3 linked regions of the Arabidopsis thaliana genome follow. The protein of the gene in region 1 interacts with the protein of each later gene in a pairwise test. Each region holds a gene or a part of one and is shown on either strand. Other genes may lie near its edges.

Evidence for each region. The genes of interacting proteins can lie anywhere in the genome.
Region 2: the proteins of EXO70B1 (region 1) and AT1G17615 interact in a two-hybrid assay, tested with the Arabidopsis thaliana proteins (one study listed by BioGRID).
Region 3: the proteins of EXO70B1 (region 1) and VAMP721 interact in a two-hybrid assay, tested with the Arabidopsis thaliana proteins (one study listed by BioGRID).

What each region holds. Positions count from the first base shown.
Region 1 is NC_003076.8:23,619,152-23,625,112, forward strand, and holds EXO70B1 (exocyst subunit exo70 family protein B1), read right to left. Parts: upstream 4,393-5,961; 5' UTR 4,184-4,392; coding exon 2,309-4,183; 3' UTR 2,001-2,308; downstream 1-2,000. Other genes in the region: AT5G58420 (Ribosomal protein S4 (RPS4A) family protein), read left to right, coding at 448-450, 758-835, 939-1,217, 1,317-1,745; SNX2a (sorting nexin 2A), read right to left, coding at 5,003-5,089, 5,398-5,484, 5,584-5,844. UniProt on the Arabidopsis thaliana protein: Component of an exocyst subcomplex specifically involved in autophagy-related, Golgi-independent membrane traffic to the vacuole. Regulates autophagosome formation and autophagy-related Golgi-independent import into the vacuole.
Region 2 is NC_003070.9:6,056,739-6,061,351, reverse strand, and holds AT1G17615 (Disease resistance protein (TIR-NBS class)), read right to left. Parts: upstream 1,964-4,613; 5' UTR 1,912-1,963; coding exon 1,433-1,911; intron 1,349-1,432; coding exon 685-1,348; 3' UTR 501-684; downstream 1-500. Other genes in the region: AT1G17610 (Disease resistance protein (TIR-NBS class)), read right to left, coding at 3,195-4,457.
Region 3 is NC_003070.9:1,330,966-1,336,367, reverse strand, and holds VAMP721 (vesicle-associated membrane protein 721), read left to right. Parts: upstream 1-2,716; 5' UTR 2,717-2,941; coding exon 2,942-3,131; exon of another isoform or gene 3,132-3,637; coding exon 3,638-3,779; intron 3,780-3,858; coding exon 3,859-3,979; intron 3,980-4,168; coding exon 4,169-4,231; intron 4,232-4,367; coding exon 4,368-4,511; 3' UTR 4,512-4,902; downstream 4,903-5,402. Other genes in the region: VAMP726 (vesicle-associated membrane protein 726), read right to left, coding at 298-444, 538-600, 685-805, 895-1,036, 1,419-1,608; CTF18 (P-loop containing nucleoside triphosphate hydrolases superfamily protein), read left to right, coding at 5,282-5,402. UniProt on the Arabidopsis thaliana protein: Involved in the targeting and/or fusion of transport vesicles to their target membrane.

The DNA of each region.
Region 1 (5,961 bases):
TGTACAATTCATAATATTAGTATATATGATACTAGAAGAAAAAAATTTAAATACGTATGACACCGAGTATAAATATCTAATGCAAAATACAGAAAATAAATAGATACTGACGGATAATTCCGGAACACATGAAGGTTTTAACATTTAACCCATAAATCCCAGAACCCGTTCAGTATTTGAATTTAGTTTTTTTATGGCCACGCTCGTTTCGAGTTTGGGCCTGGCTGGATATTTTTTTACCCACAACAAATCTCTACCCATATATATAAATGGGCCTCTCACTTAATAAGCCCATAATACCCTAACATCATGGAGTTGGAAGAGGGTATATAAATGGCCAATTAGGGTTTTGTACGTGCTCTCACTTTTTCTCTCAAGTGGTTCGGAGCTGTTTCTAAGAAAACAACAGGTAGTTCGGATCGGAGCTACGCTTGCAAAACTCAAAACATGGTTCGTCATCCTCTAATCTCTATCTCTTTCTTCTGAGCTTAGTGATTGTTTACATCTAGATAGTTCCTTAACTCGACTCTCGTTTCTGGTGGGTTTGTGTTAGAGTGACTTAGAGAATGGGTTTTGTTAGCAATTTGATTGATTCGATAACTTGTGAATATTATATGCATCATGGTGATTCTCCTTAGATCTGAGCTCATTAGATCTCAAATGTGTCGCTGATTTAGGTCATGATGATGATATACATAGCAGTAGAGATTTCCTTAATAATAACATCTCTTAACATTTATTTTGTTAAATTTTACAGGCGAGGGGTTTGAAGAAGCATCTGAAGAGGCTTAATGCGCCTAAGCATTGGATGCTTGACAAACTTGGTGGTGCATTTGTATGTCTTTTACTCTCTCTCTTCTTGTCTCAGTTTTGATTCAATTTTATATATATCTCTTGGGTTTGTTTGAATAAGTATGTTCATTTCTGGTTCCACACAGGCCCCAAAGCCGTCTTCTGGACCACATAAGTCAAGGGAGTGCCTTCCCCTCGTCCTTATCATCAGGAACAGGTTGAAGTATGCTCTTACCTACCGTGAAGTGATTTCAATCTTGATGCAAAGGCATATCCAAGTTGATGGGAAAGTCAGGACGGACAAGACCTACCCTGCTGGTTTCATGGATGTTGTGTCTATCCCCAAGACCAATGAGAACTTCCGTCTTCTCTATGATACCAAGGGACGTTTCCGTCTCCACTCCATCAAGGATGAGGAAGCAAAGGTTTGTTCTCCTCTTGTCATTGTTTAGTTGTCTTTTAGAGTGATACTTGACATGATGGGGATATGTTGTGTTCTAACATTATGTCTTCTATTTGTACAGTTCAAACTTTGCAAGGTTCGATCTATCCAGTTTGGACAGAAAGGCATTCCTTACCTGAACACTTACGATGGTCGCACCATCCGTTACCCTGACCCGCTCATCAAGCCTAATGACACCATCAAGCTCGACCTTGAGGCCAACAAGATTGTCGAGTTCATCAAGTTTGATGTTGGCAATGTTGTGATGGTTACAGGAGGTAGAAACAGAGGGCGTGTTGGTGTGATTAAAAACCGTGAGAAGCATAAGGGAAGCTTTGAGACAATCCACATCCAAGATTCAACAGGACATGAGTTTGCAACAAGGTTGGGTAATGTGTACACCATTGGCAAAGGAACAAAGCCATGGGTGTCTCTTCCCAAGGGCAAAGGTATCAAGCTGACTATCATCGAGGAGGCCAGGAAGAGGCTTGCTAGTCAACAGGCTGCTTAATTTTGTGATTTTCAGTTCTTTGTTATGCTTCTTTAGACGTTTCATATTTCCTAGACTCACTTCGTTTCTTTTGGTACTCTGCTCAGTTTTGAAACTTCTCTTATATTATTTATTTCAAGAGTTAAAAACATCAAATATCCATTGTGTCCTCTCTTGTTTTTTACTATCTTCAAGAGTTGGTACTAGTTGGTTATGGTTACTTGGTGATAGTTACACAATTATTGAGAATCAGTAAAATAATGAAAAATCTTGTGTTGACTCCTTTGTTAAAAGGGAAGACTTAGATGTAAGAACATATTGATAAAATATGCACTCAAGACTTAGAAGTAGATCCAAGTCCCTAACATGTCATCTTTTTCAACTGTTTTCTCTTTTTACAATGACAAAAAAAGTGATCCAGTTACAATACAACATTACACAACAACACAACAGAGCTGAGCTAACTGTCTAAAAGGATACACAATACATGTTACAAATCCTCCCTGCAAGACTTCGCTATTGGTCATTTAGCAGGTGGTTCGTTACGAAGATGTTACAAGAGGCTATTTTTGTGTTCGTTACCTTCATTTTCTTCCCGTGGTAGTCCCTTTGAACAGCTCGTTAATACGCGCCTCTATGTCCTCAACTCCATACTTGATGTACTTGTCTGCGTTTTTCCCTATGTCTCCAAGGTTTTGGAACCTGCCGATGAAGCTCCCGTATGCCGGTACCAAAAGCCTGGCCAGTGAGATCTTTAGCTCTTCTTTCAGCTGCTCGTCAAACACTACCCACGTCGAATGCACTTTACATATCTCATCAAACTGAATATTGAACTGCTTCAGCTTCTCCTTCATGGTCTTCCCCAAACCGTTCATGCCTGCTGCAGTATTATCCACCTTCAGCAACCCCAGCATCTTATTCCATGAGCTTCTCTGATAATTCATATGGTATTGTTTCACTTTGACATTGTGTTTCCGAATCCAATCATCTCCTAACAGCAATCCTAGGTCTCCATCTTTGACTTTCTGAACAATGTATCTCCCATTATTCATCAGAAACACATAGCACAAAGCTGGATCTTTGTACACTTTAGATTTTACTTCCAAGTTACTCTCTAGAAGCTCCATGATCCAAGACATCTGTACAGTCAACAGAGTTGAATCTTTAGAAGGGACACCATTGCTTTCCTCAAACACTTGCTCTAAGGTTTGCCGGGATCTACAAGCCGCACGGAGGTAATTCATCACATAACGAGTGATCGGGTGGAGACCACCGCCCGGAACCGCAGCTTTAGCCGGGTCTCGCCGGATCAAATTCTCAAGCTCCATAAATATACCTCTTATCGCCTCTCCCAACCGTTTCCAAATAGTTACTGCTTCATTTCTAAGAACTGAGCAAAACTGATCCGAGAACACAGACTCAAATTCAGGCATCAAATCCCTCATTGTCTCAAACACATCAAGCACTTTAAACAATCTCTCAGGCGATCTGCTTCCAATAGCAATCGCGTCTGCGAAATTCAGAAGCTGAATGGTAGAGCCACGACAAACCTCCATAAACGAAAGATCAGCAGCAGAGGAGAAACCGAAGAAGACACGGTCACAGAGTCTACGTTCGCTAGGAAACAGGATTCTTAGAGCAACGTTAGCAGCTTTGATCCACCTATCTATCTCATCTTCTAACTCCTGCCACGGCATCTTATGAACTTCTTCAATACTCAGCTTCTGTAACCCTAACCTTGACATACTTTCTTCCAGAAACTCTCTCCTACAAGAACTATAAACATGAGAACACGCCTTACCAAATCCAGCGCCAAGCATTCGCTTAGCCATCTCGTGTAGATCGTTAATTGTCGCCGAAGGGAGAGCATCAATGATAAGATCGTAGTCAGTGAGTGGCTGTGCCACTGGGATCTGAATATCATCACCGTTGTTGAAGTCTCTGTCATCATCTTCTTCTTCCTCAGAATCGAAACGATGATTCATCGCACCAGCGTCTCCCTGAGGATTAAGTCCGAAAGACTCAGCTCCACGCTCCATAAGCGACCTGAACTCTTCTTCGATGCGGAACATAGCTTGCTGCATCATATCGTCGGCGCGTGTTAGACAGATGCCGATAGGTTTCTCTGAAGCCATGGGACTCCACTCTCTAATGATTGCAACGAGCTCATCGATTGTGTCGAGGAAAGCAGCTGAATCTGCAGGATCAGCCCAAATTGGTTGGTCCGCAGCAACAAAGCGAGAGATCTGACCGTCTATTGAATTTAGAGCTCGCTCGAGTGTGGCGACTCCGGATCCATCTTCTCCAGCTTGACCTTCGGCGAGCTTCTCGCGAGAAAATCTGCCGTCGAAGTTGGAGAAGATCTGTAAGATATCATCGGCCATGGATTCATTGTGGCCAAGTGTTTTGGCTATGTGACGCGCAACAGCAAGTAACTTCTCTTCACCATTCTCCGCCATGATTGAAACAGATGTGGAACCAGTGTATAGAAGATTTTATGTAATCTCGAGTCACTAAATAAAAAGGTCACACAGCGAGATCGACGGGGAAAGAAGCAAGGAAGGGAATCGAAGACGAAGAAAGTTCCAAGCAAGGAAGAAGACTGGATGGATAGAAAAAACTTGTCGAAATGACGAAACTACCCCTTAAGACAGACGCGATCTTTGACCTGGCCGCGTTGTTTGAAAATGGCATGGGCGTGTAATATTGCGATAATTTCTGCTGTCTTTTTGTGAAATCTTTCCCTTTCGCGAATATTGACGTCTCCGTGACTTTTCTGTCATTGCCTCATTGGTCTCGCTTTAGGAGATAAACCGGCCGGTTTACGAGTAAGATTGGTGGCTCGATGGTTCATTTTCTCTCTCGGTCAACTCACTAAAACGAACTGGTTGTTACTTACCAGGAAACAATGGGTATGAGGGCAATGCAGACGCAGTCAGAACTCAGAACTGCTTCTAGAAAACTTATATACAACAACTAAAGAAAACAAAGAACGTTTACCAAACTATCAGATATATCTTTGGCGGCATATACCAGAAAACAATGGGTATGAGTCAATGCAGCTGTAGTCAGAGATGCTTCTAGAAAACTAATTTACAGCAACTAAAGAAAACAAACAAGAACGTTTACCAATCTCTATCAAGATAGATACAACATATGAAAAAGGAAACTACACTTTTTGACAAACCATTATTACGCAATGTGATTCTGTGCCATACATGGATTTGGTATGGTTATGCCAAAATGAACATCGTTCACTCTCTTTTTTTCTGTGTTTGTTAGCTGCTCTGCTTCTCTCTATCGTATTGGCTGGTCTCTTCTGCAACCTTTGCCCAGACGTTTCCCATTTTCTCTGCGTATCCAACCTGCGTCCAATTCAAGAACACAACTCTTTCTTTAAAACTCTGGACTCTTTGATTACTAGCAAATTTATATATTCCTATCCTCTCTTCTACCGCATTATCTTTAAAAGAACTCATTTTCATTTGCCTACAAGAGACCCATGAATGCCATCTTTTTATTCTACTTCTCCACTCTTGAAATCTCACTAAGAATGAAATCACACACTTTGTGCTTAAACTAAACAATCTCCTTATCACATTCTTCACTCTATTGGGCAATTAAGAAAGGCATCATCCTTCTAATGTTAATGTGCTGCATAATAATAACGTACCTGGTTAACAACAAAACCCTTCATCATGTTCATGAAGTCTGCACGCCTTTCTCTGTCCAACCTCTCAACCTCAGATCGGTTGTTTTCCTGCAATGATACAAATTTACACAGAGCATAACCAAAATATTCATATCATGTTGGTAAAACAGCACAAGTTGTGATATGCATAGGGTTATTACTAAATACCTTGATTCGCTCATACCCTTTGATGGCAACATTTTTTGCATCCTCAGTGACCTTGATTGTTTCTTTTAACTCTTCTATTTTTCGGATCCTTGATTTGTCACCACCAAATACCTTCGATGATGCAGCCTCTAGCTTCTCAACTCTAGTTTGCAGAGAAGGAAGCTCTGATAGAAGCGTCTGAACTGTCAGTAAAGCACTAGATCTATCTGCAAATGCGCCTTGGACAGCCATCATCATGCCAAGGTACTCATGGAGTGTGTCCTGAAATGAACAATTAAAATAAAAGAACAGCTCTTAGTGAAGCTCAAATTCCAGCAGCATCTCCAACATAAGCTGACAATCTGCCAAGTGTCCACTAGTTAATAATGAAGATACTTG
Region 2 (4,613 bases), on another chromosome or scaffold:
AATTGGGCTTTTTCATTACATAATAATTCACATGCATGACAATAAGACTTCCAATGTAATAGAAGGGCCCAGGTTCATCCGTTTCTAACTTCTCCTGCAAGCAATCAGAGAGATTGCCTAATACAGAGTTTACACGATTGGTTACGCAGAGGAATTGTTTAAAATCTCCCAAATTTATCCGCCTTTGATCTGGATTCTCTGTCGATGTCTATACACTCGCGTTTAAACTTAGACAAACATAAGTAAGAAAAGCACAGAACATAACTTTCTGTTTTGAATTAATTACTTGTAAATCAAGAAATTCCTAAAACAGAGGAAAAAGTGTCTGTAACGCAGCAACTACAGAATGAAATATACAAGCCCAGGATTCTTGGACAACAAGTTAGTATTCTCTAGTCCTCTTTCAAAGAACTAACATAGCTTGATTGTCTGAAGAGGTGATCACAGAGACACTGAGACAAACAGATATAAAATAAGGGATACATTTACATGCATTTTGTAACTTTGTACATGCATTGTTATTGGATCAATGGAGATTAATTTAATTCCTTATACCAGTAACTAGCAAACAATCCCTAATCTTAAGCTAAATCTTCGTAAGTCTTAGGTATAATAAGCCTAACGGTTTACCCTAGGAAGTGCTTCTAAGGGTTATTCCAGAAGGACCAGAAACAGAGTTACCATTCAAGAAGATTCAGTCCCGGATATAGGTGAAGACAACTCGGAACCGACATTAAGATCTCTTTCCCTAAAGCCGATTTGACGAAACAGTTGACGAACTTCAAAGCATCTCAAGCACTCAACTTCATACACAACCTTTATCCCAAACGCAACAAGAAGTTGTTTGTCTTGTGTAGTTATGAGCACTATGCTCCCTGGACCAAAACAGTTAAAATATTCTGCAAGAGCATCTAACTGTTCGAGTTTGTCGACATTGTTAGCCACAAGTAGAACTTTCTGACTCATGAGCCTTTTTTTTATCAACCCTGAGGTCTTCATCCTCGAGTACCCTCCTTGAATCCTGATAAGAAACTCGTCTCTTAGATTCGACATTTGACAATCGTGAGGGATCCCTTTGACGTTTTCGAGAAAACAATGACTTTGGAATTTCTTAAAGATCTTTTGATAAACGTATCTAGCTAGAGCTGATCTTCCATTACCTCCTCTTGCCCAAATTCCAACCACTCTCACACCTTCATTAGAATCCAAATCCAACAATGGATACAACTCTTTCATGCGTGCATCAAATCCAAGTTGGTTATTGATGCTCTCACTTGGTGGTGTTACCGAGAATAACATGTCAGAAATTCTCTTGGTTATCTCATCGAGTAGCTTCGAGTCATCTTCGCTATAACAGAGGAAAGAACGAACTTGATTCAACAAAACCACTTAGGATTCAAATTGTGATAATAAAACAAAGATAGAAAAGTACCAATCACGAGAACAATGGCCGGAGATACTGGCCAAATTGGTCAGAGCTTGTCTCCATGACACCACAGTCTCATAATTTTCCCTTCCTTCATGTTTCCTAAACTGTTTAGCGACCTGTTCGATTTGTCTTCTCACATGAGCAGGCTCGACGTTGTAAAAGATTGGCATAACGATGATGGAACCCTTCTTTTCGACATCCATGATCATCACTAGCTCTTGGAGACACCAGGGAGACGCAGAGTAATTCTTTGAGATAATCACAACGGCGATTTTGGAGTTTTCGATCGCGGCGAGGAGATCTGAAGCAATCCGACGACCACTCTGGAGTTCAACGTCGTCTTTGAAAGTTCGAATACCCATTTCAATGAGTTCTTTGTAAAGAAAGCTAATGAAGGTCCTGCGAGTGTCCTTGCCTCTGAAACTCAGAAAGACGTCGAACTTTTGTGGAGTAGCTGAAGAAGAAGACGATGATGAATACATTGGACTGAATCAAAATAAACATCGGTTTTTTTACTTTCAAACTTTGGAAGATGATAGATGGCTTGATTTGAGAAGTTAGCGAAAGAGAGCAAAGCTCAATAGTACATATAGATTCAGATAGCATAATAATTAAAATTTCCAAGAAAGTGTTGAGAATTTACCAAGAAAAGGTTATTAAAAGTCATGAAACTGAAAGGGTCCAAAGAATAAAACCTACGTATCGCTTATTCGATCAATATTCGAATTGGCGATCTACGTGTTAATGCTTTGATGATCAGTCATCAGATGATGTAACTCCAATTCTATTTCTAGAAAATCTTAATATATATTTCACCATTGAGACTTTTTCTAAGATATAAGGGAACGTGCAATCCTAAGAGTATACTGCACGGAATAAACGGTCGGTGATGGTTGAATAGTTTTGATGCTGAGCAAACGGAAAAACTGTGGTCAGTGCTACGTAAATATATTAATTACTATTTATTCTTTATTATGAGTTGTCATTGGTAACGTGGAGGACCTAAAAAAAATTCGAAGTGACTTTAGCCAAGGATTGAATGTTTCATCATGAGGTCATAACGGATTTAGCTTATGTAGACTTGTAGTGATTCCACATGTTGCTGAAGTGAAAAACCCAAATCTTCAAACGTTTTGCCAACTCGGCTCCCGTGTCTTTAACATGTCGCATCACCATCTACAGCTTACCACGTCAGCTTCCACGTCTCTATCAGCTTGTTTTCCATCTAGTCTGTATTCTTTAATCCATTCTCATATATCATATACTTTTGTTTTTTTAGTACTTTTATAGTCTACTATTGTTTCAACAAATGATAGTCAGAAAAATAAAATGATAAATTTAAAACATAGCCAATGTAAAATATAGCATTTTCAACACATAATAATATACCTTCAGTGTGAATGCATTAATATTTGTCCATTTCTCTGTATCTGCAGCGGTTTCAAGCAGGTATGTGTCCCCTGTTTCTGCTACTTCTATTTTCGTTGGCCAGTAAGATTAAATGGCTATTCGTTTATAACTAGACTAATTTTCCCTTTTCCATAAATCTTGGATATTTAGAAGAGATGATTATACAGACTTACAGAGATAAACCTATAAGTAGATAAGAGATAACACACAATACCATTGTGTACTCCATGACCAAAACTGTGCGAAAGAAATATAAAAGATGGGCTTTGTTGATACCTACGTTTATAAGCGTTGACGCACATGCATTATCATTGAGGAAACCAAACAAGATGTAAGGGAATATAATACAGGTGTTTTATCTTTGGGATGCTTCCACGATATCTTTATCTTCTAATGCTTCCATAATCTTCCAAACTTCCTTTATGTCTTTACCTTGCTTTGCATTGAGTTTAAGCAGTGTAGCTTCCCACTCCTCTTTATCTCTACCAGTTAAAAACGAACCAAACAGTCTAATGGTCACAGGAAGAAACCCTGCAAGCTGAACAGCACGAACTGAGAGGCGTTCAAAATCAGGAGAAGGATATGGCTGCTTGAAAGCAAAACGTGAGAAGAGTTGGAGAGCTTCATCATATCTTAGAGAACCAACTTCATACACATGATTCACTCCTGATTGCACAAGCAAACTTTTTTCTTGAGTGATTAGAATGACTCTACTTCCTGGAGCAAACCAGTTGGCGTTCTCCGCGATCCACTTTCCTTGTTCAATGTTGTTCACACCATCAGCTATCAAAAGAACTTTCCGGTGTTTTTGCTTTGCTTCCGCCATTTCATTCATCTCATGATTCACACTTCTAAGATCTTCCCCTTCAAAGTTTTCTGACGGTAGAAGCATTTCTTTCATGTTTTCGACGTTTTCTAGGAAAACATGCGCCTGAAATTTAACAGAGATCTCTGCATAAGTGTACCTTGCAAGTGTTGTCTTTCCCACACCTGAACTACCCCAAATACCAATGGTACGAACCTTTTCGTCAGATTCTAAAGCCAACAACGCATACAATGCTTTCATGTGACGGTCCATTCCTGCAAGGCCTTTGAAATCGCTTGATGCAGAGGACAGAAACATAAGCCTAATGTCATCAGCAATCTGCTTGATCCGGTGTGTTCCGTGCATCACCGCAAGATTCCGAGAAAACGAGTACTGTGCAGCTATGTTGTCCAGTTTGGCAATTGCAGTCCTCCAAATTTTGGCTCTCTCAGGAAATATTTGAGAGACTTTTTCCACATCCAAAGGGTGTTTTGTGAGGAAGACTGGTATGACAGTGAGTGAACGTTTCTCTTGAAACTCAATTATTACAATGAGCTCTTCAAGGAACCCAACTGAAGAAACTTCTTCATCAGACGTCATGACAACTGCAACTTTGGACTCTGTCAAAGCCTCAAGCGTTCGTAGATCAATTGGTTTGAAGCTACTCTCCTTCCAGCTTTCGGATTTAAAAGCTTTGATACCATTTCGTGACAAATCATAACCAAAATCAACGTCAAGAGCTATCTTACCGCTGAAACTCAAGAACACATCCAACTCTCTTCCAGCCAACAAAAAAGAATAAGAAGTAGACATTCACTTTTTTGTTTTAGCAGCAACTAAATAAACAAAGATTACAAAGTATATTTCTTTTTTTTTTTGTGTCAGTGTGTGTGTGCATTCTATACCATTTGAAGGAAATGAAGATAAGGTACCAGGCCATTTAGCGTTGACTTGTCACTGTAAAGCTGT
Region 3 (5,402 bases), on another chromosome or scaffold:
TATCAGATAATGTGTCAAGTTGGTTGGAGGAATATAAAACCGATCATTAGACTTGTAGATTACAAGAGCATAAAGGCCTAACCTATATAATAAGTAAACACAAGAAAAAGCTTAAATCTCTCTTCCAAACAGTTGATTTCCTAAGGATCATTCTGGGTACCACGTCAATTTTTGTTTGCCTAAATAAAAGAAGAAGGAAAAATACAAAAGAGAAGGATAAAAGGGGATAACTATACCGGGATGGTTCTAATTAGCTTAGTAGCTATGTGGGTGGTCTGATCCACCGGAATCGAGTTCTTAAGTACACTTGAAGCCATGGCAAACCGACAAAATGATGATGAGAATCAAAGCGACAATGATGCCAAAGACTATGAGCTTTATCTTCATGTTTTCGAACCACAACTTTCTTTTCATCTTTGTTCCTTGTGTTCTAAAATCTTGTGCCTATTAACAAACAGAAGAAGAAGAGCATGTTACCACTAGATAATAGTGATGTAGTGTCTCTTATACTGTATTTGAGATGTGGTTATTATTAACCTGTGAGCGAAGGTTCTCAGTTTTGTCTACTAATAGCTCGATTTTCTCTCCACGGTCAAGGACCTGCCATAGGATTGAATTGCAGAAAACACATTCAGCTTACAGGTGAGGAGTTGTCGATGAAAAACATGGATAATTTAGTCTAACCTTCTCAATATTCTCCATCATAACACCCTTCACTTCAGTCACCTGAGCCTTAACTTTGGAAAGTTTGCTAATCTCCTCAGGATGATCCGCACAGTACTGCATGTGCTCCTTCAATTTAGACCTACATTCATTACAACAAAACCATTTAAAACACACATCCACAAAGATGGAATTGAAAAGAAATGCTCTGACTAAAAATGTTAAAAGTACCCGAATTCTTTGTTCAAGCTGTTGGCTTTAGCAGTGGAAGCTTTTCCACCACCGTATCTCTTGTTGAAATCCTCCTTGACTCTCTCCAAGAAAGCCATTGGTATCTGCCTCCCAGCAGATTCAATAACAACAACACAATAGGCTGCATAACAACAGAGGGAAATGAGAAATCTTATTGTCACATTCCAACTAAAGCAAATTCGTGCATTGGACAACCAAAGCTTTCCAAACATAAAAATCTTCACAATAAACATTCCAAAGAAGCCATGCATAAAGCTGATTAAAATCAGAACGAAAACAACAGATTGCATATCCAATCAAGACATGGCATTGATTAGAAGAAAATCTGAATATAACACAATGCCACAAGAATCGAGAGCAACGAATATCCTACGAAATTCAAAGCTACACTGTTCTCGAACATTTGATTTCGAAACTAAGCATTCATAAGAAAACAGATGAACCAAGGCATAAACAGAGAAATACAGAGCAAAATCGACACAGATCGGGAGATAGAGACTTACTGAAGCCATTATCAGCGAGATAATTGAAAGTGTGACCGTCGCAATTGTAGGTAAATTTGTTGTTCGAGGACGGAAGTTTCTGGAGACACTGAGCGGCGACGGAGGTGAAATTGCCCTTGAACTCGGTATACTCGGCGAGGATCACCGTACCGCGAGCGACGAAGCTGTAGATCAACGATTGTTGTCCCATTCTTCCTTTTATCCAGATGAGAGAAAGATAAAAAAACGAAACCTAAGAACACCACAAAAATCCGATCGAATTGATGAGAGAGATTAGTAAGCGATGTAAAAATACACAAGGGAACGAGGGGTAGCGATGGAGAAAGCAGGACGCAGAGATCGGAGAAGAGAAACTATATGAGAGCGCTGGATTTGCGCGAGTAACAGAGACATTATTTTCCCTTTGGTAACGTTCAAATTTTGAATTTTTAAATATAAAAAGTAAATAAAAAGAAAAATTCATCATTTGTATAGTCGAAAATTGCCTTAATAAACTTTATTTTGGTAAATAATTCACGTCTAATTAATAATAGTATCTTCATGTTTTTACACCACGGTGGCTCGTTTTTCAATTCAAATGTGAAATGTTTATCAATGAGCATTTTAAAAAACAAATATATATATATATATATATATTATATATTGATTTTTTATAAAGAAAATTGCGATGTGTAAGGGATATTTGAGTTGTTAAATTTTCTATAAATTATATGTTATGTTACTTAAAAGAACGTTCAATTGATAATGTTGCAAACCTTCCTACCAAAAAAATTAAAATAATGTTGCAAACCTTTTCTTTCATTCCAATTCACTAACCTTCTATTCTAACCACAACCTAACTACCTAAATTTCAATTATTTGATTGTTGATCAAAATCTTTAGGAACACGTTAAACAAATTAATTAGCAGGTTCTAAACAATGCAGAGCAATTGTAGATGACAAGAGATAACGGTAGAAGTTCGAATTTTGTTGCTGTAACAAGATACTATGACTATGAGCTCCCCCCGTCCATTAAGAATTAAGAAATTTGGTTAATTACAACATTTGTTTTTATGTTTAAGCCTTTTGTTCGTAACTGAGCTAATACTGGAATCACTGATCAATGATGAATTTGGAAAAAAAGATATTTTGAGGAAGACAGAGACAGACTCTCTTCGACCATGGGACCTGAACTTGTCCTAAAGTTGGTAATTACTAATTTGTGCCATCGGCAGAGTCCACGAGCTTTTTGGCTGGATCCGGGCGGGTCCAACTTTCTCGACATTTGTTTGATCTCTCCGTTTTGAAATTGTTTTTTTTTAGTCCTTAAATTCAAGGTTTTATACTATTTTTGACCCAATCTGACTACCTTAAATGACAACTTTACCCTTGCCCGCTTTTCAACTTTTTCTTCTCCCATGTCCACTTTAGTCCTCGTTTTGTTCTTTCATAGTCTTCTAGATCTGTAGTTTTTTTCCGCGACCGCCCAAAAAATTCTCTGATCAGACGGTCGATTGGATCGGAGATTTAAGGTAAAGAAAAAATGGCGCAACAATCGTTGATCTACAGTTTCGTAGCTCGCGGCACGGTGATCCTCGTTGAGTTCACTGATTTCAAAGGTAATTTCACCTCAATCGCTGCTCAGTGCCTCCAGAAGCTTCCGTCTTCGAACAACAAGTTCACCTACAACTGCGACGGTCATACCTTCAATTACCTTGTCGAAGATGGATTCAGTAAGTCACTTTTCGTTTGATCTATGCATAGGTTTTAATCTTACACCATTCGGTGCTTACCTCGATTTGTTTCTAGGTTTATTTGCCTAACCTATCGATTCGTATGGATTTGTGCATCCTGAGTAGTCTGATTTCACTGAGGAACCGCATGAACCAAGCTTTTAGGGTTAGATCTATATTTATTAAACGCAATAAATCTCTGTAGAGTCTTACCTGTATAATCACTCAGATTTGGACAGAATCCGTGGTAGCTTTGGTTGATACTATGTGGAAGAACACCAACATTGATCTGAGACAGGGTTTTTACTGGTTGCTTTATTTGCGTATAGTTTCCTAGGTCATGGGTTTTGGCTGGCTTCATTTTTCAATGAAAATCTGGGGTCTTATTGTAAGCTTTTGTGACTATCCTTTAGTTGTTGTAGCCATATCAATTTCATATTAAATCAATGTCACCTGATTATCCCGTAAGGGAAGACAAGGAGATTGATTTTGTTCCTGTTGTACAGCCTATTGTGTTGTTGCGGTTGATTCTGCTGGGAGGCAAATTCCCATGTCCTTTTTGGAAAGAGTAAAAGAAGATTTTAACAAGCGATATGGTGGTGGAAAGGCTGCAACTGCTCAAGCAAACAGCTTGAATAAGGAGTTTGGGTACTTTTTCATTATCTCTTCTATTTGGATGATCTTCTCTTTTATATTCGTGGACTGACTCTTTTTGGTAACTTTGAAGCTCTAAACTGAAAGAGCATATGCAGTATTGCATGGATCATCCTGATGAGATTAGCAAGCTTGCTAAGGTGAAGGCGCAAGTGTCAGAAGTTAAGGGTGTAATGATGGAAAACATTGAGAAGGTTTGAATCTGACCCTTTCTGTCCTCAATGTATATATTTACATCTATGGTTGACCCATCTGAAAGAGCTCATCTAGTCATACTAAGTTACTGTGAAATCAATTACTAATAATTCAATGCATTACATCTTACGGGAAATGTCCAGTTTACCAATGTAACACCGCTTACATATGCGACTCATTATTTGCAGGTTCTTGACCGTGGTGAGAAAATTGAGCTTTTGGTGGACAAAACCGAAAATCTTCGCTCACAGGTTAGACTCTCTCATACCCTTATCTCCTGCATCTATTTGCCTACACTCACACACAAAGATGAACATGCTTTTTGAGTTCATAGCTGACTCATCCTATTACCATATCTTGTGTCTAACTGAACTCAAACTGCCACAGGCACAAGATTTCAGAACAACAGGAACGCAGATGAGAAGAAAGATGTGGCTTCAGAACATGAAGATAAAACTCATAGTGCTCGCCATCATTATCGCACTGATTCTCATCATCGTGCTCTCAGTTTGCCATGGGTTTAAGTGTTAAGCCCAGAAAATTCAAAACTTCTGAGATCTTTCTCACTCGGTACATCGTAGTGCCTTCTCTTTTATTGTTCGATCTTCAATCTAATGTTTCTGCTTGAATTGGTTTTGTATAGATAGACATATATGTATGCTACTCATTTGCTATATTGCTTGCATCTGATGACATTGATCCCTTGCGAACCAGTCAGTACTTGACAAGAGATCCGAAACTATTAAATGATTTTGTTGACTGAAGATTGCATTGTGGTGGTGATGATAAAAATTTGAGATTGTATTGACGATTATACGGCGTGATGTGTGCTGGTTACTTTAAATTTAGATAAGAGTAGTGCCCTCTCTATATCGTTACTAGGGATGGTAGTACATATATATACGTACGTCATATTCCGACCACCAAGGTTGTTTTGTTCAAACTCCTCCCGCAACGCTTGAGTAGATCTTGTCGGCCATCGGGTCGTTTATGAGTTCAAACATACGTGTTTACTCTGCTATCAGTAGGAGCAACCAATACAGAGTTTAGTAGTACATACAGAAGCATCTTGTCAAGAAACAACAATCTGTAGTCACAATGGTATAAATATTTGGGCTATTTTAGTTAAGTGGGCCGAATATTTAATGGGCCGTAAAACCTAATTTGAGATCCTGCAACCAAAACTTTCCCGCTAAAACACTCTCATTCCCGCTCAAGCTCACACCAGATTCCGATTTTCACTTTTGTTCACCGAGCACCAAATCCCAACAAAATTCCGATACGGTCAATCATATCAGAGAATGGAATTCGATATCCCATTGCCGGAGGAGCTTGAGCTTCTAGAAGCCAATTCTCATTTCTACGAAGAAGAAGATGAGTACCTAAACTTTGAGGAGCCGCCATATCCTTACCCAATCGACG